Arabidopsis thaliana: one gene and its partners. The protein of the gene in region 4 interacts with the protein of the main gene of each other region in a pairwise test. Each region holds a gene or a part of one and is shown on either strand. Other genes may lie near its edges.

Region 1 (8,597 bases), on a different chromosome or scaffold from region 4:
ACGAAACTGATGACTGATGTTGAGACTTGAGAGTTAGGTTTGATTCTTTAACATTCGATATCTCATCTTCCATTTTTCGTTATTACATATTTTGTTGCAAGGAAAACACGATATACCGTATAGAGTTGATGTAGCTAAAGTTTTAATTCAACAATGTAATCTTGATCATTAAAGTATAGATGATTTTAGTGGTTCTACTTGACGTCCCTACAGATAGTAAATGCAATTATCAAAAACATGTCATAGTTACTAAAAGAAGAAGGATGCACAAATACAATCTTTTTGGGTTGGATCAGATCAAATTATATTTGGCTTAAAGACATTGATTACTACGTATATATTAAACAAATGAATAAAATTGACTACCTTTGCTCTCACCCTCACCTGCTGATTCTATACCTAATTAATTATATAATACGATAGCCAACAGTTTCAACATAAAACCACCATCGAAACATACTACTGATATAATATGCATATGGGACAAATGAAAAATGAAAAATATAACGGATGAATAACGAAAAATGAAAAATATCATTAATGATATAATATGCATATGGGACAAAGCAATCTTATCCGTTACGGACTATATAACATATCATTTCTTAATCATATATTATATACGTATATATATAATCGTATATCATCAGTAATATATTTGTTGTAAGAAAAACACATACTGTATATACATGACCAAAAACATTTCGCTTTATGCATTGATGTAAAAAAATTAAAACTATACATAAACACATCAAAAATTACAGACACTTAACAGATGTACCATGTTTTTTTAAGAATCAATAGTTACAAAATTTGAGAAAAAGGTGATATTTTGTCATTTCGTTGGATATGAAGGAACCAATGATAAAACATCGTTAGTTACTAATTCAAACAACAAAAAAAAGAACCCCGAATTTAAATGCTCACCATCGACAAACCTTGGCTATTTATTTTATAAATATAAGACAAGTACTAAATCCTATCAACACTAAACAATAAAATCGAACATGTTCACCCAATTATAATCTGACAGCTGAAGAAGATAAGGAAATACTAAATATAGAGAGGTTCGATGACAGAGAGAAAAAGGTAGACTGAATCACCATCAAAACCACGCCCAAGAACCCTAATTGGGGAAAGTGGCCAAATGAATTCTCGCCACGTGTGGATCTGATGGTGTCAGAGTCGGTAAAGTTTAAAAAAGGTAATGTGTGATGTCTCGATAAGGGCTTTTAAACTGGTCGTTTTGTCTGGGACACTTGTACAGTTTTGGAAAGGAGGACCCATGACTAGGGCATTCTTTAGTTAATTTTAAACTTGATAAATCAGTATTTCGTTTCTATATATTTGTTTATGAAATTCTGTATCATTAGAGAAATCAGATGATGTGGCAATCATTATCTGTTCTCTTTAATCGACCAAAGGTTCGAACAAAATATCATTGTTGGTTATCTGATATAGAGAAAACTAATTTAGAAACCTCGTTTTGAAAAATTCCAACTACAATATGAGATTTGATTCTACAGGAGTTTGGAATATGGGAAAGGGAATTTACAAAAGTGATTGTTGAAACATTACCGATTGTTAAATGGTAATAGACAGCTGAAGCTGCACAATGACATATGGTAAGGAGCTGGGAGCAAAAGACTAAGGACCGAAACGATGCAGATCATCTCGCAAAAGAAGCTTTTCCTCATATTGATCACTGTTGTGTGTTGTGTAATATCCTTTCTGTTTATGGCCTCGTCAAAGGTAATGCTGATTCTAGTTTATTCGTTATTGAAATGAACTTGATTTAGCTTAGCTGTTTACAGAAGTTAAAAAGAAAGGAGGACAAAGGGTTATAGTGTTGAAGACAAACTTATTTTAGCTTCTTTCTATATAGCTTTTTATCCCAAATCCCTTAATTCTCGGATTAACATGAAAAAAACCACTGCCATACCTCCTATGTCCACAGAAACTCATCATGAATCATCTTTTTCTCACTGCCAACAGACCAAATACGAGCACCTCAAAGACAAAGGGACGTCGAACAACAAACCAACATTGATAACAGAGCGTGGTAAATAAGTAATCAAAATAAACTTACTGATGTCAACTTCCATTCTCACGTTTGTGATAAACTCTTTGCGTTTACCTCGTGAATAAAAACAATGCACAGAAGAAATATGAGGACATAAACAATAACCATCCCAACCCAATTACTAGAGAGAGAAAGTGAATACTGAGATCTCTTCCATTAAAGCATGTGAGTCAATAGTGTGTACAACTCTTGATAGCAATAACATTAGGGTCCTAACGAAAAGAGAGAAACACACCTTTCAGTTTTACGGACCACTCATATTTACACATGAATCCGAATAAATGGTACACTAGAATGCCCTGAATCTCCAGGCAACAAAGCAACGCAACTGAGTTAAGAATAGATGAAAGCAAGTCTTTTGAGTAAAAAGGAAAATACCAAAATACGACCAGTCGACTTCCCTGTGTATTTGTTGACATCCTCTCGTCCAAATGATAGCACGTTTTTTCTCAGTTACCGCTTTGGAGGATATGTCGGCATGAAATCTTTGGATTTTGGTAACGGGACTTCATGGAACCAACCATGGTTGAGAGCATCTTCCACTGTTAGACGTTTCTCAGGGTCCAAAGTTAGTAGACTGTTCAGCAAATCAAATCCACGTTCAGAAAGAATTTGACCACCTACAAATGAAATAGCTGGAAACTTCTTACGTAACATATTGTAAGGCTGTGTAGGAAACTTGGCTTTAGCATTCGGAAATGATGAGAACCCAGGCCATATTGCTTCGTTTGGTGTTCCAAGGACCGCAAAGATCTTCTGAAGTTGGTCAAGCTCACTCTTACCCGGGAACAAAGGCTTTTGAGACAACAGTTCAGCCATAATGCAACCCACTGACCACATATCAACTGCTGTAGAGTACTCTTTTGCTCCTAGAAGAAGTTCAGGTGGCCTGTACCACTGGGTAATAACCATCTGGGTGTAAGGCTTGATAGGGCTCCCATACTGGCGCGCCATCCCAAAATCACATATTTTTAACTCCCCACAATTGTTCATCAGAAGATTAGATGGCTTCAGATCCCTGTGGATAATCCAATTTGTGTGGAGGTATTTCAAACCATCCAACAGCTGCATCATCAAGCACTTGACTTCGCTAGTGCTAAAAGGTTCCTTCCTTCTATCCATTACTCCCCTCAGGTCGTGTTCTAAGTGTTCCATGACCATATAAACATCATTATCGTTTTTCCCTCCAACCACAACCTCCTTCACGTTCACAATCGCAGGGTGATTGCATGACAAAAGTATGTTAATTTCCCTCAATGATGTCAAAGGGAATCCATACTCTTCTTCGAACCTATCTTCCTTCATCTTGATCTTTTTGAGCGCAACAATCTCTTTTGTTTTCTCATCCCTTGCTTTGTAAACAATTCCATATGTTCCTTCATTTATCTTGTTTAGCTTCTGAAATTCATTCACAGACCTGCTCCCAAACATCATGTTCATCTCTCCCGGAGTTAAAGAATCTTGATCTTCATGTTCTAACTCATCATGATCAGAACTATAATACTCACGACCAGAATTTCCATCTGCACTAAGCTTCTCTACGCTGAGATGTCCACTGCCAGATCCAGACGAATAGCACTGCTGTTCTTCAGACACCATTACTTCCTCGCACTCCGGTGTCAAACTGCTCCTGTTCCATCTATTAGTCTTGGAAACGTTAACAGATATTAACTCCTCCTTTGGGGAAGTCAAACCTGTCCCCCACCTAGATGTCTTTATATTTGGTTCCTGCATCACTTGTTCTTCCTCCAACAGACCCTCCTTTACATCCTCCTGCATCACCTGTTCTTCCTCCAACTGACCCTCCTCCAAATCATCAACAGGATGTTTCACAGCCAGCAGGGCTTCTGAAGGCTGCACTGGAGCAAGATAACTAGGTTCTGGCGACATCAAGGCATTCACTTGATCGTTTGAAGTAGTCTTACCAGCAACAGCCTGATTGGATATCACAGTTGTAGTCGGAACAGGGAAAGGAGACTTGGTCTTCTCCCTAGATGGAGCTCTACCCACTTTTTCTGCATTCCACACGATGGGTGAAAACTTCCTCCTTTTCTCAGAGGGTCTCTGAACCTCTGCTTCCTCCCGTAGTTCCCCTTTCTCATATGCCAACCGTGATCGGTGACGCCCATCATTCCTCCTGAGATCATGGTCACTAGGCCTTTTGATTTGACGCCTCTCGTCATCTCTACCACTCTGTCGAACATACACATCACGAGAACCATTCCTGTAAAAGTCGTAGTCTTTTTTGACAGCAACGGAACTTCTGGAAACATCAACACCCCCTGCTGCCATCGTATTCTTCTCAATGAGAAATTGATCTTATAGAAATAAAAAAGGATAAAACAAACAAACCCCTCGAAAAAAACCAATCAACGAAACCCAGAATCAAATCACGAGAAGCAGATTTCAATAGATGTTCAATTACTTTTCAACAATTGAACTAGAAAGACGATCAATCAACCAATTAAGAAAAACACCCTTGACGAAATCAGAATCAGAATAATTCAGAAAAAAACGAAACCCTAGAAATTCAATTTCCAGGAACGCGATAATTTTTCTCCTTCCTCTTCTCCGATTCACAAGTACCGGAAGGTCTTACCGGACGGTGAATACGAAAACGGAAGATTGGATGGAGGAGGAGATCGATCTACGAGCCCGATGCGATCGCGAGAAGCTTTTCTCTAAATTTTCCTCTCGGAGACGCGTTTTTCAATTTTGTCAAGTGGCTCTATTATTACTTTACCCTTTGTTTTATAATCGTAATAGGTCGGCTGCTCCAATAATTCCCTTTTCTATTTCACAGATTTATCTAATGTTTGCGGGTGTACCAAAAGAACGTGAGCTACGTATTACAGCCGTTGGATCTAATTAATGAACACGAAACTAGTCGTTTATTGTTTGGACGGTGACGGTGACGAATGACGATGCTATAAATAATAATACTCACGTTGTTAATCGAACGGTCAATATTACATTAAATCTTGTGTAGTAAGAATGTAAGCTACATTTCGTCTGAACCGGTAATTAGATCCCATTTTCACTGAAAACCGACACAATAATATATGAACCAGCCGGTTATCTCAAAGTTTTGATGCATTGCCATCCACAGCGATTTTAGTAAGCTCCCGACGCAGAATCTTGCCAGCAGGATTTTTTGGGATTGCATTTATAAAAGCAACTCGTCTTACCTTCTTGTACGGAGTAACCTACACACAAATAGTTACATAAGCAAACCAAAACATCAAATCTAATTGTTCTGTCTACTTGTACTAAAAATTAATATAACCAACATTCTAGAGCAATGAGCATTACTTGTTTAGCTACGAAATCAATGATTTGCGCTTCGTTGAGATTGCTTCCTGGTTTTCTCACTATGAAAGCCATTGGAATCTCTCCTGCATCCTCGTCAGGGAACCTTGAATTCATGATCCATGTCAGTATCAGAAACACATTTCAAGAAGTTACAAATTTGAGTTTAAAAGACTCACGGAACAACTGCAGCATCAATCACATCTGGATTCGAGTGAAGAATCTGCTCCAACTCTACCGGTGGAACCTATAAGATGACGCTTTTGATTAATATTAAACTCTAAAGACTATATCTTCTTCTTCTGACTCGTAAAATTTACCTGATAAGCCTTGTATTTGATTAGCTCCTTTAGCCGATCAACAATATATAGAAAATCTTCCGAATCAAAATAACAGAGATCACCAGTCTTTAACCACCCTTCTTTGTCTACTGTCTCCGCACTCGCTTTCTCGTTTCCCACATAACCTGTGCCCATTAATCACAGGTTTATAGTCACATCAATGATCAAAATCTTGATGAAGACATTAGACTTCAAGGATCATGAAATCCGACTGAGTCCTAGATTTCTTCTTATATGCTAAGTCATTTAGTGAAAGCTCTTGAATGTTCCTCAAACTATTGCATTTGTTACACAGTCCTAGATTCTTCTATGCAAAGTCACAAGTCTCGATTTAATTTGACACAGTCCTAGATTCTTATATGCAAAGTCACATTAATGGTCAAAGTCTTGATATAATTTGACAGTCCTAGATTCTTATATGCAAAGTCATTTAGTTTACACCAGCTCAGCACATTGCATGTTCCTCAACTATTGCATATGTTTTATGATACCTTTCATGATGACTGGTCCTCGGAGCCAGAGTTCACCAGTTTTTCCCGGTGGCAAGGATTCTCCGGTGGATGGATCAACAATTTTGGCTTCCATATTCTCAGAGATACGACCAACTGAGCCATATTTTACCATCTCTTCAGGTCCAAACGTTGAGGCAGCTGGTCCCGAGCTCTCTGTCAAGCCATAGCCCTGTAAGCCATCACCAAACCAGAAAGTTAAAAGTCATATAAATGATTCAAAATCTTGATGAAAACCAAGTATCATGAAACTGGACACAGTCCTATATACAAAGTCATATTTTGACACTAACTGTCTTATCAGTTATTACCTGTACAATATCTACATCTGGGAATTTCTGCTTAAACCTCTCTGCGATGTCTTTGCCGAGTGGAGCTCCTCCGCAGCCAAGGGAACGCAACGACCGGAGATCGTACTTCTTCGTGAGCTCCGATTTGACCAACGCTACAATCAACGGAGGAGATACAGGCATACCAGTAACCTTATATTTCTCCACCGCCTTAAACATCGCCTCGAGTTCAAATCTCCCTAAAAGCACCAATGTCTCTCCAAGCGAGATGGCTCGAATCATCATCATGAAACCAAACACGTGGAAGAGCGGAAGCGAGAACAGTCCAACGCGATCGTAATTAACCGGATCTTGGAGAGTCCGTTGGTGAGATACGGCGGTCGAGGCGATTAGGTTACGGTGAGTGAGCAAAACGCCTTTGACCCGCCCGGTTGTTCCAGAGGAAAAGAGGATAGCGGCAGGGTCCGATTGGTTGACCTGAACCTGAAATGGATTAACCGATGAAGAATCCGATCGATTTAACCAGGAGAGAAACTCAGTCGAGTCCATCAGAACAGTTCCGAGAGGCAAAGAAGAGGATTGAAGCTTCTTAACCGTCTGCGATGTCGCGAACGCAATTACTGGTTCACTGACTTCGACTTGATGACTCACCTCCGATTCAGATCCGATTGGGTTCGCCGGTGAAACAACAACACCGATCGACATCAAAGCTAAGTAAAGCACTGGTATGTCCAACGAAGAAGGAGAGAGGATAAAAGCGACATTTCTGGAGGCAAGAGAAGGAAATCGCTCCCGGAGAGATACAGCAAGAGAACGAACTCTACGAAGAAGCTCTCCATAAGTGAGGTTATCACCAGAGCTCGAGTTAACTAGGTAGGTTAAGGCTTCAATGTTTTTCCCGGCGGTGGCAGGTGGTGAGGATTTGAGTAGGAGAGAAAGCGCGAATTCGGCGGCGGAGAGAGGTTGATCTATAGGAGGTAGAGAAAGAGAGGGACGAAGACTGTGATAGATTCCTGTCCGTTGATCGAAGCCGGAGCTCCGGTCAATCAAACGGCTGTCGTTGGTTTTCGTCAGCATTCTGGAAGACGATTAGAGATACAGTAATCTTTTCGTCGGCGGTGAACATGCGCGCCTGCGAGAAGATATGAACTCACATAAATTAATGCATACGTGGCAATCCCTAAACCAATCAATGTTTTTTTTTTTTTTTTAACGGCAAATCGATTTTATTATATTGTTTTTTGTTTACAAAACTACTAAACAAAATAACTAAAAAGGCTGTCAAGTATCAACGTTCTTTCGTCAAAGATCTGTGGGCCATAAATCTTTTTACACGTGTCTCATTCTTATTAGTTAGAGCTCAGTGATTTGTACGAATGATGAAATTTTGTACGCAAAACATGGAAAGGAATCTGTACATTTACAGTAGATTTATATGTACACGTGTCTAACGCCGATTGGTTGCAGCTGGACTAGTATTGCTTTGAGGAGCAAGGCAACCGAGCTATACCAATAGACCAGCGTTTGTGACAATCGCTGCCTTGAGAAGCAATGAGCCTGACCTAGAAGAAACCTACAGACCTGTGTTTTCTATGTCGACACATACACTCCGGGACAGGATAAGCTATCACGTCACGATCTCTCCGCCCTCTCCGTGACTCAGGATAGCCTTGGGACTTACGGTGAAGCTTCCGAGTTAGAAAACTGAGCTCGGCATCTGAAACAGAAGAATTCTCCATTAAAGGAAGCATCGCTCTCTTATTAGGCATTATAAACTTCCTGTGTCCTACATAAGCTCTATTTCCCTGAGAGAAAAACAGAGTTTAAGAAAGAAACTTTGGAAAATCTCAAAAGACTATTCTTCTGTGTTACCTGCATAGCTTTTGCCATGTTTCCACCATGGGAAGGAATAAAAACATCGCTGCTAAGTGATACAATGTAGTCAATAGCTGCTAAAGCTGAAGATCTATTGGTGTAAGGCAAGAGCTCGCCTTTATGAGCCAATGTCTCCTTTGTCACCAAATTAGAGAACTCTTTAGCGAGAGGCTCTAATGCTCGTGAGCCA
Region 2 (7,616 bases), on a different chromosome or scaffold from region 4:
TACATTGCGGATTATGAAAGGAGAGTTTCAGAGAGGAAACGAAATATGTGAGGTAAGATTTCGATAAGTCCAAATAGTTGGCTTCTATGCAGATTCATGGACTTATTACAACGGCTTGATGTCTTGCAGGCTATGGAATCAAACAAAGCTGACTGGGATACCCTTTTTGAGCCATTTGCATTCTTTGAAGCGTATAAAAACTATCTACAGATAGACATTTCTGCTGCAAATGTCGATGATCTAAGAAAATGGAAAGGCTGGGTTGAGTCACGCCTCCGCCAGCTCACACTGAAGGTGAAAAGCCATGTTTACTTTAACTTGAATAGTTTCTCTTGATTTTGCTTTGCTAATGATTTGTCTTGGATGTTTGCATTGTAATCTTAGATCGAGAGACATTTTAAAATGCTTCATTGCCACCCTCATCCCCATGATTTTCAAGACACATCCCGGCCACTCCATTGCTCTTACTTCATGGGTCTGCAACGTAAACAAGGAGTTCCAGCAGCAGAAGGCGAGCAATTCGATATCAGAAGAACCGTTGAGGAGTTTAAACACACTGTCAACGCTTACACATTGTGGATTCCAGGGATGGAGATTAGTGTTGGCCATATAAAACGGAGAAGCTTACCTAATTTTGTGTTTCCTGGTGGAGTTAGACCTTCACATACCTCTAAAGGAACATGGGACAGCAATCGCCGTTCAGAGCACAGAAATTCTTCTACATCAAGTGCACCAGCTGCTACTACCACTACTACCGAAATGAGTTCTGAAAGTAAAGCTGGTTCTAACAGTCCAGTTGATGGGAAGAAGAGAAAATGGGGAGATAGTGAAACACTCACCGATCAGCCAAGGAACTCTAAACACATTGCTGTTTCAGTGCCTGTAGAGAATTGTGAAGGCGGGAGTCCAAATCCATCTGTTGGATCAATTTGTTCAAGTCCTATGAAAGATTATTGTACAAACGGTAAATCTGAGCCTATTAGTAAGGATCCACCAGAAAATGTTGTTGCTTTCAGTAAGGATCCACCAGAGAGTCTTCCGATAGAAAAGATAGCCACTCCTCAAGCTCATGAAACTGAGGAGCTTGAAGAAAGTTTTGATTTTGGAAACCAAGTGATTGAGCAGATATCTCATAAAGTTGCAGTCCTGTCTGCTACTGCAACTATACCTCCATTCGAAGCTACTTCAAATGGCTCTCCTTTCCCTTATGAAGCAGTGGAAGAACTTGAGGTTTCTTATTTTTCTTATCAATTTTCGATACATAAATTGTTCTCTTGATCTTATTCCTCCTGTCTGATTTCTCTTTTGTTGAAAGGTTCTTCCCACGCGACAGCCCGATGCGGCACATAGACCTTCAGTACAACAGCGAAAACCGATAATCAAGTAAGTGATTTTGTGTCTATGTTTACTCTTAACGTTTGAATATACATTTTTGGATTTTGACAAAGATTGTTTGTTTTTGTTTGTCTGATTATTCGCAGATTGAGCTTCACGTCTCTAGGCAAAACCAATGGCAAGTAATAATGGCTTTTCCCTACATTGCCAAGAATCTCAGAGCACTTACGGAAATTCGAGATGTTAAGTTGAGGGGTTCTTGTTACTTTATGTCTTATATTTATATGCTTTTCTTAGATGTTGCATGATCTCATGTAAAACTCGTTTGGATAAGATTAATGTAATGTGTTCTTGTCTATGGATCCCAAACACTTTTTCTGTCATAAATAAAAGTCTGGGTTGAGTTTACTTCACATATATATATAAATGCAGACTCAAACGTTAAAACATTGATTCTTAGTTACGTGCGTGTATGCTATATGCTAAATTACTCTCTACCTGTCTTAAATCTACCTAGGCAACAGAAAACATAGATTTCAAACTCTTGATTTCAATCACATAAATAGACCCAACAAAGAATATAAGATCTTAAAAAAAAAAAATTGTGATTGCTAAATGCAAAAACAACAAATATGAATCAAGTATCAGATGATACAGATCTCTATACAGCAAGGTGGCTTGAAAGATCTTGAGCTATCAGAAACCCGACGAGATACAAAAGTCTTTTAAGGCTTGCCATATGCTGCCTTCTTACAGACCGGACAAGCATTCTTCCTCGAAAGCCATTGTTTCACGCAATGGACATGAAAGCTGTGTCCACAGTTCAATTCCCCAACCTCATCCTCTCTCTCATACTCATCCTGTCACCATCAAACAATAAGGAATAGCATTATGAAACTCATGATCTGTCTGAAGTTTCGAGAAGCCATTGACTCAATCTGGAGTTTACCTGACAGATGCTACATTTTCTATCAACAAGAGTATGTGATACGGATGGTTTGATTTTCCCAAGACAACGATGTATCTCGCTTTCTTTTAGTCCAGTATTCACATAACCAATTCTATCACCAAGCTCAAGAAGTTGCTGCGTAGACCAAAGCAAACACACTCGATAAAGTTGAGAAGATGAGATTGCAAGTGTTTTTCTCATGAGATTTTGAAAAACATACCTCGTATGACATGCTATCAACATCGAGCCTCAATTCGTGGTAGTTATCACGGGAATCTGTTATTCTTCCCATTACAAAACCATTCTGGAGCATCCTCATCTGCAGTGAACAGCAGGAACATGACTACACTAGCTGCATGGTTTAGTTCTTTAACTTGCTCACTTGCTATTAGCCATCCAAAACAGTTTTACAGCACCATACAGCACCAAAGAGAACGATTACATTATTTGTCTTCCACTCTATCAGTCACTAGAATATGTAAGAGACAACTCTAGAATAATCTCTTAGTTGATATGAAGCCAAGTGACAAGTCAAACCTTAACATAGTGTTGAGTGTGATCAGTTAATAAACTAAGAAGTCAAATCTATAACATTTACCAGATGCAAGAAAGACAAGGCAACTATTTGGCAAGAACATTCTACCTCGGTAAGATCATCAGGGTAAGAGCGTGGAAGATGGCCACGACATCTACTTGACAACATCGTTGGTTCAGCGCGTGATGATGTCACAAAAGTAGAATCAGAGTTGAAGATATCATGAGAATGAGTTTCTTGATTGAGAAACCGAATGGGAAGAACAGAAGAACCCTGCAGAACATTTGTAGCATTGTGTTATCATTTCTCAAACACTTAGACATGATGATAGATTCCTAATTTTCAAGTCCTCTGAAGCAATGCGTTTCTTTGATCAAAATAAATCCAACAACTCCCCTAACCAATTGAATCCAACCAAAAAGAAACTTAAACAATGCTAAGATTCCATCCTCTAGCTAAACGAGACAAAAGCATGATAAGATTCCATTCTCTAACCAAACCAGAGTTCGATTAGTTTATTGAGCATCAAACCCAAAAGAACCACCCGCACGTCAAACAAAGAAATTTTCTATATTATCCTCACATGAAACAAAAACTAATAATAGAGAACCGCTACATCTAAAGTAGACCCTTATGATTTGTCTAAACGAGAATCCAAACACATATATTAATAAACCAAACCAAACTAACAATGGCCCAGCAATTGGCATAGAGCTAACTACAACCACTAGAGCTCCAACCACTCCACACAGTTTCTGCCTAAACGATACCATTTCCTCAAAGTCAAAGTCAATAACATAATAACACTAAATTCATCATCCAACTTTAGATCAATTTACCAGTGTGTGATTATAATTGTTGTTATCCACATCAATTTTGCGACGAGACGACGGAATATTCCTTCCCCGAGGAGGATCAACCGATCGACCAATTACAGCATCCGTGGAGAAGCCTAATCCAGGTCTGCACCAAACATCAATAACGTCTCTAGCTTCTTCGCTTAAAATCCTAATCGAACCATCTTCGTAGCTTCCTTTATTCTTCTTTTTCTTTTTCTTATGCTTATGCTTCTTCTTCTTCTTATCTTTTCTAATTCTGGCATCCAAATCCGCGGAGTAGCGAATGACGGAGGGAACAGAAACCTCTTGAGCTGCTGCTGCTGCTGCGGCATAGCAACCCATCCCTCGAAACGACGACGTTTGGTACGGTTTCTTCCTCGTGCTTTCGTTGGAGGAGGAAGTCGGGAGGGGAAAGAAGGAAGACATTGCGGAGTTACAGAAGCGATTAGGTTGTGAAATCGGAAGAACGACGTGGCTTAGCGGCGGATCATCGTCGGCGGCGTGGAGATGACGGATTGTTTGGTTTCTAGCTCGTCGGAGTCTGATGTGCTCGCCGATTGTTGTAGAAGACATTCTCAAAGAAAGAAAGTAAAGGAGATAATGGAAATGTGGGAGAGAGAGAGCGAGACACAGTGCGCGGGGAAGGATGAAAGAGAGTGATTTCAAGCTTGATGATGATGATGATACAGTTTTTGTATAATGATTATAGCTTTTCCTATATAATACTATTAAAGATTTTTTAGTTTTTGTTTTTACATGCAACCATTAGTATGAGATTCCAAACAAAATCAGCTCATGCATATCTTTTGTGAATACTACCAAATTAGAAATAATGATTTTATAAGAGATATTGTTTAGGTTAATTTGAGTATTTCTCTGGGTTTTTAACTTTTTTTGGGCAATTTAGTTTAATGATTTTGCTTATTTTTGGTTTTTCTATTCCAGAAAAGTAAATTTTAAAATTTTTAAAATGATGCTTGCTTGTAAAAATAGGAAAGGTGTCAGTCACTACATGACTCTTTTAAGTCGAAACAATCTTGTTAAATAAATAAAAAGAGAGAGAGTGATTAGATATTATTTTGGTAGAGATAAAGAAGAGACACAAAGTCCAGCTGAAACATCCTACGATAAGCTTAAACATCAAAAGACCACTTCTTTGGTTGGTTTTAATATTTGAACAATCCTCGTATACATAAAGTTGGCACTCTTGAGCTTTGAAGACATCCAGCAAAGCCTTGATGGTTGATGCTCATCGCCACGAAGCCTGAACCGTTTTCCTTTCCAATATTACATTATTGTCTACCAGACCCGGTTCAACCAAATCGAACCCGACTACATTTTTGTAACACGAAACCATCCGAGAACGTTGCAAAACTGATTCTAGCTTCATCATTAATAGGCTTTTAAGAGCCCAAAACTACAAATAATAAGCCCACTTCAAACTGATTTTATAGCTTCCACATTAATAGGCCTAATAATGGTCATTTGGATATTATTGAGAATGCAACAAATATAAATGTGAAACATTAAATCAAAGAAAGTCACGCCAAAATAGGTTATATACATATACTTTTAATTTGCATTTTATCAACAAAACTACAATTCAATTGAAAAGAAATTATAAATATTGTAGAAAATTATTTAAATACAAAAGGAAATTATGTAAAGTTAGGTGCATCTGCCACTTGTTGTTATTACCTTATTACAAAAAATGAAAGGAAAAGCTCTAAAGCTTGGCCCGCAAGTCACTTTAGTGTTGTAGCTATAAAAGGGAAGTTGACCTTGGGATAATCTACTCCTCTGCTCTCAACGTCATCTTCTATATTCTATAGTTTCTATTTGTCCTTCGTTCTCTGCTCATCCATCGATGGCGAATAATCATCATCCCAAGGATGAGGCTTATCTCTCATCCGTCATCCCCAAGCGTATCAGGCTCTTCGAGGAAATCCAAGCCGAGCAGCTTGAGCAGCTTCAATCTCGGCCACACGATCCAATCAAGTAAATACGTTTATGATTAATTGTTCATCATTTTCACTAGGGTGCATCAATTTGTTTGCTAAGCTAGGGTTTTGCAATTAGTTGATTTCTGGTTTTTGTTTCACTGCTTAGGATTACTCTTCTCCCCGACGGTATCGAGAAAGAAGGAAGGAGATGGGAGACCTCTCCAATGGACATCGCAGTGCAGATTTCTAAGGGTTTAGCAAAATCTGCTCTGGTTTCTTCGGTTAATCATGTCTTGTGGGACATGAATAGGCCCCTGGAAGGTGATTGTTCCTTAGAGATTTTCGGATTTGACAGCGACCAAGGCCGTAATACTTTCTGGCATTCTAGCGCCCACATTCTAGGCCAGGCTCTCGAGCAGGAGTATGGATGCAAGCTATGTATTGGACCCTGCGAACCCAGAGATGAAGTAAGAGCTTTGTTCTGTGTTTTTTCCCCTTAATTATGTTTCTTTGGCTAAAAGAGTAAAAAAAGGAGGAGTCAATATTGTTTGGTTCTTGGTATTTCATCTGTAATGTTGCAAAGACGGGCTATCTCTGATGGTAATTGTTATTGCAGGGCTTCTATTACGATTCACTTTATTATGGCGAGCTGGGATTAAACGACAATCATTTTCCAAACATCGAAGCAAGTGTTGCATATATATCTTTTGCTGACATCTTTTTTGTTTTGCGGTATGGAATGTAGAATTACCCATTAGAATGGCCGAATTTGGAGTGTTACACCGAAATGAGGACAGTGGAGCACTTGGTGGAATGACCCGTGTCCGACGGTTTGTACAGGTATGTTTGCATCTTTCTGGACTTTTCTTGTGGTAAAATGTTTAAAACTTAAAAATTGATTGCTTTATATAAAGACTAGCGACATTCAAAATGATATCATGATTAGTTAAGCAGCTTATTTGCCATGTTGAAGTGAAGAAGTTACCCCTTTACTTTACTTTACTTAGTAGTTTGTCAATTTGATTTTAACCCTTTTGTGCGCGTGTTGCTTAATTAAATAACATTGTGCATACTTGTTTTCAGGATGATGCACACATATTCTGTAGAGTGGATCAGGTTTGTGATATTTGTTTCTTATGCAGCAACGTTGGAGCTCCTTATCCTCCCAGTTTCTTATTTTATAGAAATATTCTTATCTATTTGCAGGTTGAGGAAGAAGTGAAGGGTGTGTTGGATTTCATTGACTATGTTTACAGAATATTTGGGTTTACCTATGAACTAACGCTTTCAACGGTAGGATATTTTCACATTTCTTCTCTGCCAAACCTAATATACTTTGCATGGTATGGTCACGTATCTCATTGTTTGCATGTTGGTTTCGACTTCAGAGGCCAAAGGATCACATTGGAGATTTGGAAACATGGGCTAAAGCTGAAAATGATCTTGAAAAAGCTCTAGATGATTTTGGAAAGCCATGGGTTGTATGTGTCACTACTTTCTGATGCTTCTACTCAAAACTTTATAATTCATAGAGAGATTCTAAAGTGTGATGTTTTCTGAAGATAAAGGAAGGAGACGGTGCATTTTATGGCCCAAAGATAGACATAACAGTGTCTGATGCCAGGAATAGGAAATTCCAGTGTGCTACTATACAGGTTAGGCTCCCAAACTCTTTTTAGTTTTTTCCTCTGTTTTTTGTTCTTGATCTCTTACAATAAGATTTTGATCCTTATTTGCTTCGTACCAGCTTGATTTTCAACTTCCGGCTTGCTTCAAACTGAAATACCTAAGTGAAAAAAACGAAATGGAGGCACCTGTGATGATACATAGTGCGGTGTTGGGATCTATTGAGCGTATGTTTGCCATATTGTTGGAACATTACAAAGGAATTTGGCCCTTCTGGCTTAGTCCCCGCCAGGCCATAGTTTGCTCTCTTTCAGAGGATTGTAGTTCCTATGCCAAACAGGTTTTCTTACATTCTTTATTTATGAACCCTCACACCTGCAATTCTTGCA
Region 3 (8,293 bases), 2.1 Mb from region 4:
GGTGGTTGGGTAAAACGGGAGGATGTTGGATCGGATCCAGTCGTCGGAGAGTGATGCGGATTTGGAGATGTTGACGAGGAGCTCGTTTGGGACCATGACGGAGACGGTAATGTCGGTGCCGTTTAACGCGGCGAGGATTTTTGGGTTAGCGTCGTAGAGTTTGACGCGTTTCGCGTTTAGGGACTTGATGAGGTTGACTGAGTCGGACGGTGACGGGAGGTTGTTTCCGAGCTGGCCATAGTTGATTCCTGGCCGGCCGGAGAACTTTGCTCCTGTGGAAAAAAAAACACAGAGAGGATTAACATTTTGAAGGAAATAGTAAGCCGCCATTAATGTAGGTGATTCGAGCTTACCTGAAACAGAGATGAGCAGAGACAGAGCAAAGAGATGTAGAAGAAGACTCATGTTGATAACTCTTCTAGGTCTCTCTGAAGCAAGAAAAGAGAGAAGCTTTGGTTTGTTGTTTGGAGAAGGAGAAGAAGAGAGGGAGATGGATTGAGTAATTTGGTAAGAAGAAAGAAGAGTGGAGATATTTAATGGCTAGTGTTACGTGTTCCTGTACAAAAGCCTGTTTTTGAGTATTAAATCAACAAAAGATACAATGTATTACTAACTTTTGTATTTACTAGTTATATTCAATTTTTTAAGTGTACGATTACTACGACGTCTTCTCTTTTTTTTTTTTTTGGTTAGTCTGAATGGTTATATTAATTGAAAAACTCTGTTTCTAGCCAATTCTTAAAGGTTGTTTTAAAATAAATTATGTTTTAGTGAAAAATATTCTTTCTGTTTTTGGTGTTAAATATAATTTTAAATCTTAAATGATATAAACTATTGCTAAAAACATTTCTCACATTTTGTCTACAAAGGTTAATAATTAAAGAAATTTTCATGGTCTAATAATTAACATGTCGTTGAGATTATTTATGGACCCTTATGCTTCGTGGGAAATGAAGTAGGTGGATAAATGAAGAATTGTTCTCTATGGATTTTTTTAGTTCAACTCTCGTTGTTAATGAACGGAACAAAATATTGACAGATTCTCAGGAAACTCTCGTTGACTGTTCATTGTAGTACTATAAACGTTGATTCTTAGAAAAAGTATTAAAAGTGTGATTGTCGGGGCTCTAAACGAGTTGGCACGAAGAGATTTATGTGATGAAAAGGTTATGTAAGTTAAGTAGTACAAGACTGTTTATTGGTGTCTTAATTCTGAACAAATCTCAACGGTCGTCTTGTAATAAAGAAACTAAAAAAGCTTTAATGAGCGTTGAGAAAAACGAAAAAGTAACGTTCTCATGCTTTAATGATGTGACGTGACATTATGCTCTAGATCCCATTTTTCTTATAATAATGATTAAAAAATCATAAATTTCTGGTCCGGTAAACCGACCAACCTATATTCAACCGGAATAATCTAAAATTTATAGGTATGATAGTTTCGATTTCTGCGGGTATAGATACGTGTACCATGTACGAGTCGGATAGAGATATGAATATCTGAGAGAAGATTTCCATAATTATTCGGAAACAAAAAAAACGCCATTATTAGTCCTTCTCGGACAAGCTCTCTCTTTCTTCTTCCTTTTATCCTTTTATCCTTTTTTCTTTGTCTCTGAGATTTCCACTTTGTTAGATATTTTCTCTGCTGGAGTACATTAATATTAGGTCTGGGTTTATATCTGTCAGGAAATATTTAATTTAGCATATCGTCTTCAATGTAAATTGTTTGATAAGTTGTTTTCAACAGTGTTTTTTATCAACGATTTTCTTTCAAGCCTGCAATGATTTATCTGGGTTTACGCCCTCCGAGGCAGGAATACATGCAATAGACTTGTTAGGTCGAAACATATGTCATATGTTTGTACATTATACATTTTGCAGTCGGACAATTTTTAACATCTGTGTTTTGACTTTTTATGGAAAAAAAGTTCCTCGTATAAATTCAATCACAAAACTCGAATCATTTGTGCTTGATCTAAGAGAGCTGAGGGAAATTGGGCCTTAAATCATACAAGAGATTGTCAAACAGATTCTGGTCCTTATAACTTAAGATAGAAGAGGCCCAAAATTAGCATAACAAATACTAAAAGATGAAGACAACAGATTTAAAAAAGAAATGGTACATTTCAATTCAGAAGTGTGTATATAAATAAATGAACCCTTAGGAGAGAAACAACAACAACAAAGAATTTGAGAGTGGCATTAGAGCAAAGCTTAAAATATGTTTCTGCCACATCATCCGAAACAAAAAACCAACAACCTAACAACAATTTTTGCACAACAAAAAAACCAAGGTTTGGCTTAATACCACAACAAAGACAGGTAGGCAAGTCTTTGGAATCCTCTCCGACGGTTGTTTCTGCCATTCTCTAATACTATCCGTAAAAAAAGGAAGAATCTAAACCAACCCAAGTAGAGTATAAAATCATGTTCCCAAGACAGAAACTTTAAATGAATTGTTTTTATGTATCTATCTGTAACGAAAAGACCTGCGAGTGAGTTGGTTCGTTCCTTCCTGACTTGATCTTTGGGTCTTGTTCGTTCTTCTGGTGGTATGGTTCAATGTAGTTTTAAACTGAGAAAAAGGGTTATATAAACTAACTGACCTGTTCCCCGATCAAATCTAGACCGACAATAACGAACGTGATTCCTTGGAACAAGAGGAAGTAGAAATGGATCCCTTGCGCAGACAACAAGCTTCTCACCGAGGCTGCCAAGAGGATAAACGCGAGTGCGATTTCCGTTCTGTACAGACGGTTTCTTTTGGTTTTGCCAGCTTTCTTTGCTGCTCCTAGTTTGCTAAGCTCGGTCAGACCTGAATCAGAGGATGATCGTTGGATGGTTGTGGACTCAACCAAAGAGCCGGACTCTGCGTATGCAACCAGATCCGCCTCAGAGGATCTCCCTAGCTTTTTGGTGACTACCCACTCGTAAGAACTATCAAACTTGAACAAACCAGAGATCATGGCTCCAAATTTGGTAACTGACATGGTGTTTTCGAAAAGGAGATACGGAACTATGAAAGGGAAGGATCTTGGGGCTGGGATGATGTTTAAGATGGACATGATCCCAGGGATATAGCAAACAACCCAAGATGGTAAGTTAGCCTCTGGGAAGAACATCGTTAATGGAAGAATGACGCAGAAGAGCGTGAATGAGTAGAATGGCAAGATAAGCTTCCGTAGCAAGAAGAAGAGAAATATCATATTTGCTTTCTTGGCAGCACTCACCTGTAGTAGAGAAAAAAAAATGCCAGATTAAGATCAGACCGAGCTATCAATATGAAAACTTCATAAACATAAAATATTCTCAAGGAAGAGCAAGAGGAAAACAGTCTCAATATAATTCTCAATTTCACCTTTGACCGAAGAATGTCAAAGAAGCACAAACGGAACAGTTGCATTGGACCCGAATGCCAGCGGTATTGCTGTTTTTTATATGCCTCATAGGACTCCGGAAGTTCACAGAGACACTGAGGAAGGAAAATACAGCTGGATGATATCAAAAAGTTCTGTTTTCTAACATCTGGTAAATAACAGGAAACTTCTGAGCAATTTAGTTAACATAAGTACCTTAACATCATTCAGATAAATGAACTTCCATCCACAAAGATGCGCACGAACGGCAATATCCATGTCCTCAACAGTTGTTCGCTCCAACCATCCCCCGCAATCCTCGAGGGCTTTGATTCTCCAAACACCAGCAGTTCCATTAAAGCCAAAGAAGTTAATAAAAACACCATTGACCTGCTGTTCAACTTCAAAGTGGAAAGACAAATTTATGTTCTGGAGTCTTGTAAGCAAGTTTTCGTCTTTGTTCACAAAAGCCCACCGTGTTTGGACCAAGGCTAATTCTTCATTACCCTGAAAAAACACAGAAACTGTCGGGTGAGATAGGCTAGTGTGGCAAGCATATTGTATCACTGTTCTCAGTATGTGGTTTTCATCAGATTTTCATCATAGAACATTAGAACCACTGCAATCAAGACACACATATGTAGTGGAAGACACGCTATGCCATATATGTCATTTTTCCCACTGCCAACTTCTAACCGAATACCATTAAGCTCAGGGTATAACCACTTTCTAAAGCCAACTGGTCACCTAACATTCTCCTATGAACATGAGACAAAAAGACATGATTGTTTACCTTAAAATGAGGCACAGTTTTCTTCAAGAAATCCGCAGGTGGCTGGAAATCTGCATCAAATATGGCGACAAACTCGTAGTCTTTGACATATTCACAGTTCATTGCAGCTTTAAGGTTTCCAGCCTTGTAACCAGTACGTATGAGACGATGTCTATACACTATCCGAACACCCCTTTGTTGCCATTTTTGTACTTCCGCTTTTATAAGCTGCTGAACATCCAATTCACTGGAGTCATCAAGAACCTGAACTAGCATTCTTTCCCTTGGCCAGTCAAGCATACACACAGCTCCTATAGATTGTTGGTAAACCTGCAAGTGCCACAAACCAAAATCAACGAGATGAGATAACAGAACCGGAACTGCAAGGATTTAAATACGAATAAGCAGGCAGATCAAAGTAAACATATTTAAAACTATCAATAAGTTTCAGATATGAAACCGCATAAGAAACACTTAGAGATTACGGGTCAACATAGCAACAAATCCTACCTAGAGATGCTTGATTCCCAATTCAACTTCAAACAGCTAGATACAACTACGGATTAGAGACCTACATACATGTTCTTACCTCCTTTTCATTGCACATAGGAATCTGAACAATCACCATTGGATAATCTTCCAATCTAACTCCCTCTCCAACCAATTTAGTCGGGTACTCCATAGATGCAACAGGCTTAATACGGCGGAGCTTGATCCAGAAGCATCCAAGCACAAGCACCAGACGGTCAACCGATTGAATCAAGAAGAGAACTATACATACATTGGTCAAGCTCTGAAGCGGTGGCGCAAGGTAAGACGCCCTGATCTCCAACCACCAAGCGTAAACCACCTCCACAGCGACCTCGGCGGAGGCAACAGAGGGAGGTGTGAAGTGCCATCCCTTGAAATAAGCGGCAAGCTCGAAACAGAGAAGAAGCACAACAACAACGAGAAATCCCTTGATTAAACGGTACAATCTAGCGGAGGAAGACACGGATGGAGGATTATCGTTGGCAATGCGGCGATTGGCGGTGCGAACAAGGTAAAGGAAAGAGTTACCGATCCAGAGGAAGGAAGATGCGAGTTGCTTGAACTTGAGGAGGTAGAGACGAGAGAGCTGACGAACGGTACGAGTCCGGATCCGATCCTTATCAGGGTCAACGGTGGCCGGAGTACGGATTTCAACGGTGAGGAATGCTTCATCGTCGCCGGCGTAAAGAACGTCGTGATTGTTCCTATCTCGTTGCTTGTTCCACCATTGTTGAAACTCCTCGTTCTGGGAGCGAGACATTCAACGAAGAACAAAAGAAGGATCTCTCTCGAAGCTGATGAAATCAGGAATCGTCGATCTGATTAGATCTGAGAATTTGGGAGACAAGCGCAGAGAGAACACGATTGGGCTAAACTTACTAACAATAGATGACGTCGTCTTTCGTCCCAGTGTCTTCCTCCCATTTCTTTTCTTTTTTCTCTTTTTTAAAATATACATCTATAAAATTAATATTTATAAGTGATTTAATTTTTTTTGTCCTCTTGATTTAATTAATATCAATTAGGGGATATAATTAGAGTTAAATGGTTGTCTAGACGAATCATGTGTTAGATGCTTAAGAGGGTCTTCCATTGACAAAGAGAGTAGTTATGTGTTTTAAGTTTCTTACTCACCCGCTGATTGCGGTATTAATCTCAAATGATCCTTTAAGCATATATGATAATAAACATAGCATCGCGATCTGCACGATGATTTTACTTGCTTACATTTTCATCAACTCTCCAATCATACATACCACTACAATAGAGACAGAAAAATAGTATTTTCTAATTATTTAATCTAATATGATGAATAGAAAATGGGAACAATCTAATATCCTCCATGAAATTAAAATATATGATATAACCATGCCGTAACATTTATTTTTTTTATTATTAAAAAAATAAAATGTGAGAGAAAAAAAAAAAGGAATTGTTAGCGTGTGTTTAGTTGGGCCGACAAATAAAGCACCACACAAAGAGCTCACTAAAATTCTACAGATTAAAAAGTTTTAGAACTAGCCCATAGCATATTTAAGATTCGTAAATTTAGCTTTCACAGTGCGTATTGATTGTGTGGCCCATTCTAACGAATATTTTTTCAAGCAGGATTAAACGACCAACGCAGAAGAAGATAAGTGTGAAACGGCTATTTTTTTTTCTTTCAAGTATGTGATCCACTCAACCCCGTCAGGACCAATGTATTTGCAATTTTTCGAGTATCCGGCCGGTCTGCGGTATAATTGTTTATGATCATGTAAGATATTATCAACAACTTGAGATAGATGGTTTTTGATTAGACATTAATTTTTGCTTGATTGATAACTTGTTGCGGGTTCTCTTTGCTATAGTAGGTAAATAGAAAGAGACGCTTCTCTGTTCTATATAGTTTCCATCAATCACGGCGTGATCCCTACATCATAATCCTAATTAATCAAATTTGGTTTTTTGCTCATAACCACTCATATTAGACTTTCTAATGTATCTTTGTTTTCTGAATAACTCCCACAAAGACAATGGAGAAAATGACAGAACACCTTACACAGCTGGTTAACACTAGCAACGATCAAATCATATATCAAATATGATCTAACATTGAAACTGACGTTAACGAGTTATTAAGACTTGAGAGTGTATATTGAAAAAGTCAAGCTTAGCTAAGATTTGATGTTTGTGAATATGCTGTAGTACCTATTATATTTGTTGGAAATAGTACATTTGAGCAAATTACACACATGTAATTTAGCACAAAGATAGTTGTCACGCTATGTAACTCCTGCCGAAAAAAACTCAATACCAACTTTTTGGTTTCAATGTTAAATCGTATTCCAACCAAAAACTGCATACTAACATTTCATACGCTTTAACAAATAATTAAATACCTTTTCCAAAAATAAATAAGGAAATAATACACATAAATAAACTACAAAATCTCACCTAACATGCAGAAGCTATATAGTTTTGATAATTGAAATAAGAAAATTTACTTAGTATCTATCAATTTTTGCAACACACTGTTGTTTTTCCTTCACCAAAAATGTGTATTTTCTAGGAATGATCTGTCCTTGTTAGCTTCTTATCACATACAAACTCTTTATAAGAAAACCGAATTATTTTTTCGTTTTCAAGAGTTTGATGTTTTTTTGTTACAAGAACTGAATGGGTTTGATAAAAACAGTCTTGTTGTTCGGAAGAATTATAGCTATAGTACTTATAGTGGGGTTAAAACATACAATGATATTAAATCCAAACAAGAAAAGTTTAAAGAATCTGATAAGAAGAAGAATAGCGGATAACAACATGACAATACAATTGAGCACCACAAATGAATCGGAAGGATAAAAAGAAGAAGTTATGTATATGAAGATGATTATAGAAATGAATTCGCATATGGTGTGGTCCAATTCAAATTTCTTGTTATGTACACCCATCAATCCTTTTCTTACTTTCTATCCTCGAGACCTTTAAAACGCCAATATTTTTGTAAAAATGCATATAGTGGTTGATCAAAGTTCAGCTTTCATGTGCGATGGTACTTGGTTTGATGAACCTGCATATATAATAGTACAATTTATACATATCATATCTAAACGGTCCTGCCTATATAATGAAATGGAAAGAAAAAATATGATTTAAATATTCTTACCTTGGTTCAATTCTTGGAGACGGTTTTGCGCAAAACCCATATGAATAATGCTATGTAAATCATCTTCGGAAAATGTTGAATACTAAAAACAAAACCAAAAAGGGTTAAGACCGCTTCAAATTGAAGAGAAAAAGAAAAGAAAAGTGATAGAAGAATGTTTTAGAAAAGGAAACCTGAGAAATAGAGTCAGTGAAATGAGCAAGTGTTGGTAAGTGAGAAATGAAGCTTCTAGTTTCAGAAGTTTCCAAAGGGTTTATTACGTTATTAGAAGAAATATCAGGGTTCAATTGCAAATTTTTGTTGTGATGATCACCCAATAACGTTTCTGCTGAAGAATCTAATTGAAGTACTTGTTGATGATGCATTAGATTGTTGCTTGAAGGAAATATCTGTCAGAAAACAAAAGAAATTAGTTTAAACAAACACACGATTGGTTCACAAAGACAAAAAAGTAATTATTATTACAATAATTGTCAATTAAAATTA
Region 4 (6,021 bases):
AAAAGGTCCGTCTAGGAGTCCCTGCAACGCAATGGATATCGATTTACAATGCCAGGCAACCAATGAAGCAGAGGTAAAAAAATTCATGGTTAATTATTTATACAGTCAGTTAACTGCTGGGACTGCGTTTGTGTCTCATTTTTTCTCTTGGTTATATTATAATCTTGGATTTTTGGCCTTAATGTGTCTAAAACTATTTTTGGACTCACAATTTATGTGTTTAACCAGGTATCATTATAATGTGGCTGATATAAGACTGGCACAGCATATTGAGAGAGGTATTGCAGATGGTTTGTTGATAAGCTGTGTATCATCATGTTCGAATCTCTGGGCATTGATAATGGATGCTGGAACTGGCTTCACGCACCAAGTCTATGAACTCTCTCCTGTATTCTTGCACAAGGTTGTCTGATGTTTCTCTGTTAGTTATTTTTATATCTGTGTTCTGTCAAGATGATCTTACCTGAGAGTGAATTCTGTTTTGAATCAGGAATGGATTATGGAGCAGTGGGAGAAGAACTACTACATTAGTTCTATTGCTGGTGCAAGCAATGGAAGCTCCTTAGTTGTCATGTCAAAAGGTATCTACACTTTTCATGAATACTTTTGAACACTTTCGTCATTATGGTATTTTACTAGTCTCTGAATTTGTGGCTTATTCTATGTTTGGTTTTCAAATGAATTATGAAGGTACGCAGTATACACAGCAGTCTTACAAAGTAAGCGATTCATTCCCGTTCAAGTGGATAAACAAGAAATGGAGAGAAGGCTTCCATGTAACCTCAATGGCAACAGCTGGAAATCGATGGGGTGTTGTTATGTCCCGCAATTCTGGCTACAGTGAACAGGTTAGACTTCACCGATATAGATGAATTTCTTCCGTTTCCTTCAGTTTTGGATCTGTCGCGTTGATTTCTAATTCTCCTGTTTTCGCTTATATCTCCTCTACAGGTTGTGGAACTTGATTTTCTGTATCCAAGTGAAGGCATCCACAGGCGTTGGGATGGTGGATTCAGAATCACATCAACAGCAGCCACAACCGATCAAGCTGCTCTCATCCTAAGCATCCCACGTCGTAGACTTGTTGATGAGACACAAGAGACGTTACGTACCTCTCAATTCCCCAGCACACACGTCAAGGTGAGTAGAGCAGCTATAAAAGATTACTAATCAATATCTTGAACTCTTTTTCTCCCTTCCCATGAACAATACCGGAGATGCAATTTTCTGTTGTGCAGGAAAAATGGGGAAAGAATCTCTACCTTGCATCGTTAAGCTATGGCCGAACTGTATCTTGAGACTTATTAGTAAAAACTGTTGAAGGACGAGAGAAATATGTTTCTAAGTCTCGGCTCCTATTCCTTATCCAACCCTATGGCCTCTCAGGCTCTGTTGTGCTTCTTCTTTTTTTTCAGTTGAATTGTGAAGCAAAAATGTGGTGATTGTGTTGTTTATTCCCCCCTTGTGAAGGGGATTGAGCCATAATCACCAGTTTACCTACACATTTCCCTCGAAATTGCTATATTTAATTTTTAAATCAAGAAAAGATATTTTTGTCACCAAATATTCTATAGTTGTCCAATTCTGTAACCTAATTATCGAATTCATATCGAAACAGGCTGTTCTCTCCATACACGACCTGAAACCTTCAACTTCAGCTCCTTGTCGGTGGTGTTGTTGTCGGTAGAGAAGAACAAAGCCAATTTGCGAGTGATGATTAAGCCATCTTGACTATCACGAACCGTCTTGTGACTGTCACGAATGCTCCTCGGCACGCCTTGCCATGTCAGCTTTCTGCCATTCCCTCCGACCTGCAAACTATAGCTGAAGCTCATTGCCTCTTCTTCATCTCCCATAAACTGCATGAAGGCCATGTACATTGGTGTTTTCCTCAGGTGAAACGCTTCGAAGTACAAGCAGAATTTTCGACCACAACAATCGAGAAGCTGCATCGTTTCAAGTGGGTTAAAACTTAAAAATTCACAAAGTTGCAGAAACAGAGCAAGATAATCAGTTATATAACTTACTGTTAACATCCAAGTAGCATGATGAAGATGTTTAGGATCATGATGAACATATCTGTGACTGAAACTACGCCCATCACTCATTTCAACATTGTGATCATTCCTTAGATGCAGTAGTAGCCTTTGAATATCTCCTGTGACATCACACTTGGCTCCTGAGTGTGGACAATTGTACGGTTTCTTCTTAGGGTTTTCGATGTGGTCGTTGGGACACTGCAATAGGATCTGTATATTACTTGTTGTGTTCTTATTGTAGTAGTATCAATATGATATGATATACATACCTCGTAGATTGCAGAGGATATCTGGTTTGTATGAACCGGAAAATCGAGCAACTCATGAACCCGAGATTCCACCTGAAGGTCATTGATTCGAGGTTCCATTTCGCAGGAATTAATGAATTCACAAGCCAAGTGATGAAGTGAAAGAGGAGAAAGGTGTACGTTTGTACATATGTACATACAATCAACCACATAGATACGTTTACGTTGTGTCAAGTTTCAACGTCCAATAATTGGAGACAACGTGGAGTAAATGGTGGATATAGGAGTTGGTTCCGGAGATTACGTACGTCAAAGAGCTTAATTGTAGGAGAGAAAATAATACAAACAAAAAAACATATAGTAACATGACTTGGGATTGAAATTACAAATTAGTCAAGGTTCTTAGTTACACGACACTCTTGAGTTGGAGTTGTCATAGCAAGTATCCAATTGGGTCTTGCAAGTTGTAACCATCCAAATCAAGATGCCAAGTGGACAAATGTCTCTTAGCCAAATCAAATCATTGCTACTGATTGATCTTTTAGTCACTCATGGTCAAGCTAAAGAAATTGCATGAGAAAAAAATAAATTTCCAAAGATGAAAGATCTAGCCTGCAACATTACATTGATTACTCTGTTTCTGATTAACTCAAAACCGCAAGATAACAGAATCTAAACTACAGGACTTTCGGATGTGAATAAAAGCTAAAAAGAACGATACAATCCGAGCTTCGTTTATGTCTCTATCCTCCTGGAAACTTGTTGTAAGATGAGAAAAGAAAACTGTCATAAAGGCAATGAAAGACCTGCAATTCCAAAGAAAAGATTCATGTCAATCTATTGAACTAACTAAGCAACGAAACTCTATCAAAACCAAACTTAGAAGTAATGTGTGATTTTATCAGTTCAGATCCATACACAAACATAAAAGGGTTCAACTTCATCAGATTTACAAATGATGATGCTATATGATCACATACTTCTGTTGCTGTCAAGTTTATCAAAGGAACTTATGTACATCCTTATCCGTAGAGCTAACTATCGGATTCAAATTGATGCATCATCACATTTATCGCCATATACACAGTACAAAGGATACAAATTGCAACACAGAGAAACAACAGAATGTGTTGTGTGCTGATACACCTATGTAAAGTAAACCCAAATGGTAATTCCAGTGCTCAAGAACAAAACAAAAACTGACCTTGAGGAACTAATCCCCAGATTTTGGATTCAACGGACAAACTTGAGACGAGCCTGGACGATGCTATAGCACTGTGCAGAGGTATCATCGAGCTCAACTCCACTGGTAATCTGAAAACAACCATCCAACAAGTTCATCAAATTTGTAATTTTGCTTAGAAAGATTTTGACTTTGTTGATTCAGATTTCAAAATTATCAGCAAGTAATCTACATTGTTGCAGACCCATTGATAGTGAGGAAAAAAGAAGGTTTTTGTCTTCTCCATTTGATAGTGTGAAATGATACAAAAGACAAACCTTGAAGATCGATTGAGACGACAACTAGTTGCTGAGGAAGGTGATGCAGATTTGATGGGAGAGGGGAGTGATGAAACATTGGCATTCTTGTTGCTGAGATTTTGACATAGAGACTTTAATCGAGACGAGAATCTGCCTAACACTCTTGAAGATGCCATTGCCAGGAAGAAGCAAAATTCAGATGTGATCGGAGATTTTAGGGCTTAAAGGGTTCTTAGTGAGCTAGGTCCCGGGTCGGGTTACAGGTTAGTTTACGGGTCGGGTAAGTAAATAACTGAAAAAGCCAAAATTATTTGATAAGAAGACCGGTGTCGAATTTAGGGCTGGAAGACAATTCTCGATCACTTCTTTTCGCAAATTCTCTTGAGTGTGACAAAATCGGAAACTGCGAGCTCTGAATTCGTAACCCTTGATGTAAAAACTCAATCTTTCTTCCCACTGTTCTGTTTTGTTCTATTTTCGATCGAACACAAAGTTGTTATTTTTCGAGCCCTTTATCTTTGTAATAACTGATTCCGTTTTCATTGTATATGTCTGTTTATTGAAGTTTCAGCTGAGGAATCAGTTACGAAATGGGAAGCAGAGGTAATCGTGTGGGAGAAAGATGGAATGAGATGGATTGTGATGAGAAATCGAGTGTGATTCAGGAAGAGATCAAAAGGGTTTGTAAACTTCCATCAAACAGTGTTTATGCAGTTCATCGTCTCAAGGTTCTCAACAAAATCAACGACCTTTTATCTGTCCAAGTAAGTCAATCCTCTTCTTCTTCACATTACTACTCTATATGAAACACCTTTGAAACTAACTAACTTATGTTTCTTTGTTGGACAGAGAACATTGTCTCAAGAGAAGGAGTTGGAATTGCTATTCACACAGCTCTCCTTGTAAAATCCAGATTTTGATGTATAAGGAACTAATGTAATATAACTTTTTACTCGAGATTGCTTGTTGATTAATGACATGGCAACAAGCTAGTTTCTTAAGAAGTTGGTGTTTATTGGTTTTAATTGTATGTTTTAGTTTTCCCTTTGTATTGATCAATTGGATGAGGATGCAATGAAACGGTTTGAGTTTGAAGTTGAGAATAATATACCACAGTTTGTGGGATGAGTTTCCTTTAGGCCGTAACATATTTCCCGATAGTGACACTCGGATGATGAAAACCCACAAGTCGCTCAAATTGGAAGTAAATGGCACATTCAGAGAAGAAGTGAGACGCCCATTAATCGTTAGGAATGGAGTTGTATATTGGTCTTGCATTCAAAGAAGCTATGTTTTGAAGTGCGAGAGATGGGAGCAATCCAAGCTAAGCTATAAGCGTGGCATGGGTGGAATTGTCCTTGGCGCGAATGTGGGAGAAGGTTTGTGAATGGTTGCATTTGTGTACTCCAAATGGGTAAATTCAAGATGTTAAAAAGGTTGTTCAAGGATAAAGCTGAGGGAAGACTCAAAATTTATGCCTAATTTCATTCAAGAGTTTAAGAAACCAAAACACAGAACACGATGCATCAGACCACCAAACCATCAAACAAATGAAACATTTCCAATACCTCGAGTGTTTTTTTATAAACAGAGGCAGTAAATGATTCTCTTAACTTATCTATCTATTTCCATATGGACTCCTACATCTAAACAACTAGTATGATTTTAGTTAAAGGCCGAGCTGATTGTATCACAAAACCCCCCACTTCTTTATAAGCAGATAAATAGCAAAACACAAGTTAATGATCGTTCAAAAGAACATCAAAGTCAATGGAATGAAACAAAAGAAGATGATGCAAGAAAAATATAAAAAGTAGTGTAAATGGAACTAGTTACTTTCTTTCCTTTTGCCCGGTTTGTTGATTTGTAGTTGAACTAAGCTTGGAACATAGGAAGAAGAGCACACAAGTGGAACACAGTAAGCTTGGTACGAGTTCTTCGCGATATTTGGGGCAACTCCCATGTTGACAGATTTGAAGTATTCATCTTGTCCAATAATATAAACTATTTGGTAGCGACAGGTCTCAGTCGGTTTATATCTATCTAAATCAAAAACCACAGCAACTTTCTTCTCCTCATCAATGAAAAAGCTCCCAGAAAAAGTGTCAACCGGAAAACCAGTGGACGTTATCAAAAACTTGCTCCACGAAACCGTATTGGGATCAATCTTATTTGTAACACAAATCTCGATTGTCTCAAATGCCCCCCAGCGTTGATATAACACAGCGAGCTGCTCTTCCCTAACACAAGCT

Evidence for each region.
Region 1: the proteins of AT3G13672 (region 4) and AT5G63370 interact in a two-hybrid assay, tested with the Arabidopsis thaliana proteins (one large-scale study listed by BioGRID).
Region 2: the proteins of AT3G13672 (region 4) and AT1G17970 interact in a two-hybrid assay, tested with the Arabidopsis thaliana proteins (one large-scale study listed by BioGRID).
Region 3: the proteins of AT3G13672 (region 4) and CSLC6 interact in a two-hybrid assay, tested with the Arabidopsis thaliana proteins (one large-scale study listed by BioGRID).

What each region holds. Positions count from the first base shown.
Region 1 is NC_003076.8:25,382,418-25,391,014, forward strand, and holds AT5G63370 (Protein kinase superfamily protein), read right to left. Parts: upstream 4,845-8,597; 5' UTR 4,376-4,844; coding exon 2,537-4,375; 3' UTR 2,071-2,536; coding exon of another isoform or gene 1,886-2,070; 3' UTR 1,753-1,885; coding exon of another isoform or gene 1,623-1,752; 3' UTR 1,393-1,622; downstream 1-1,392. Other genes in the region: AT5G63375 (uncharacterized protein), read left to right, coding at 1,623-1,752, 1,886-2,070; AT5G63380 (AMP-dependent synthetase and ligase family protein), read right to left, coding at 5,164-5,289, 5,396-5,498, 5,572-5,639, 5,713-5,858, 6,225-6,414, 6,554-7,609; AT5G63390 (O-fucosyltransferase family protein), read right to left, coding at 8,095-8,337, 8,405-8,597. UniProt on the Arabidopsis thaliana protein: Cyclin-dependent kinase involved in pre-mRNA splicing. Required for the correct splicing of the sixth intron of CALS5 pre-mRNA. May stabilize the binding of U1 snRNP to this rare type of intron with a GC 5'SS.
Region 2 is NC_003070.9:6,181,647-6,189,262, reverse strand, and holds AT1G17970 (RING/U-box superfamily protein), read right to left. Parts: upstream 4,547-7,616; 5' UTR 4,232-4,546; coding exon 3,659-4,231; intron 3,093-3,658; coding exon 2,928-3,092; coding exon of another isoform or gene 2,856-2,927; exon of another isoform or gene 2,604-2,855; coding exon 2,505-2,603; intron 2,420-2,504; coding exon 2,285-2,419; intron 2,196-2,284; coding exon 2,061-2,195; 3' UTR 1,790-2,060; downstream 1-1,789. Other genes in the region: PAPS1 (poly(A) polymerase 1), read left to right, coding at 1-52, 130-294, 385-1,230, 1,316-1,383, 1,482-1,521; AT1G17960 (Threonyl-tRNA synthetase), read left to right, coding at 5,526-5,656, 5,768-6,068, 6,218-6,290, 6,347-6,441, 6,685-6,717, 6,808-6,894, 6,990-7,082, 7,164-7,256 and 1 more.
Region 3 is NC_003074.8:2,333,521-2,341,813, forward strand, and holds CSLC6 (Cellulose-synthase-like C6), read right to left. Parts: upstream 5,649-8,293; 5' UTR 5,423-5,648; coding exon 4,721-5,422; intron 4,462-4,720; coding exon 4,153-4,461; intron 3,867-4,152; coding exon 3,576-3,866; intron 3,476-3,575; coding exon 3,362-3,475; intron 3,234-3,361; coding exon 2,601-3,233; 3' UTR 2,092-2,600; downstream 1-2,091. Other genes in the region: AT3G07320 (O-Glycosyl hydrolases family 17 protein), read right to left, coding at 1-272, 354-405; AT3G07340 (basic helix-loop-helix (bHLH) DNA-binding superfamily protein), read right to left, coding at 7,668-7,711, 7,808-7,889, 7,981-8,196. UniProt on the Arabidopsis thaliana protein: Probable beta-1,4-glucan synthase rather involved in the synthesis of the xyloglucan backbone than cellulose. Seems to work simultaneously with xyloglucan 6-xylosyltransferase.
Region 4 is NC_003074.8:4,471,937-4,477,957, forward strand, and holds AT3G13672 (TRAF-like superfamily protein), read right to left. Parts: upstream 2,429-6,021; 5' UTR 2,408-2,428; coding exon 2,309-2,407; intron 2,238-2,308; coding exon 1,605-2,237; downstream 1-1,604. Other genes in the region: AT3G13670 (Protein kinase family protein), read left to right, coding at 1-73, 229-403, 491-581, 691-848, 952-1,140, 1,239-1,298; AT3G13674 (uncharacterized protein), read right to left, coding at 3,074-3,093, 3,492-3,601, 3,788-3,945; AT3G13677 (uncharacterized protein), read left to right, coding at 4,360-4,533, 4,621-4,671, 4,866-5,156; AT3G13680 (F-box and associated interaction domains-containing protein), read right to left, coding at 5,598-6,021. UniProt on the Arabidopsis thaliana protein: Probable inactive E3 ubiquitin-protein ligase that plays a role in regulation of autophagy. Upon starvation, involved in maintaining ATG6 homeostasis by competitively associating with ATG6, a component of the autophagosome complex.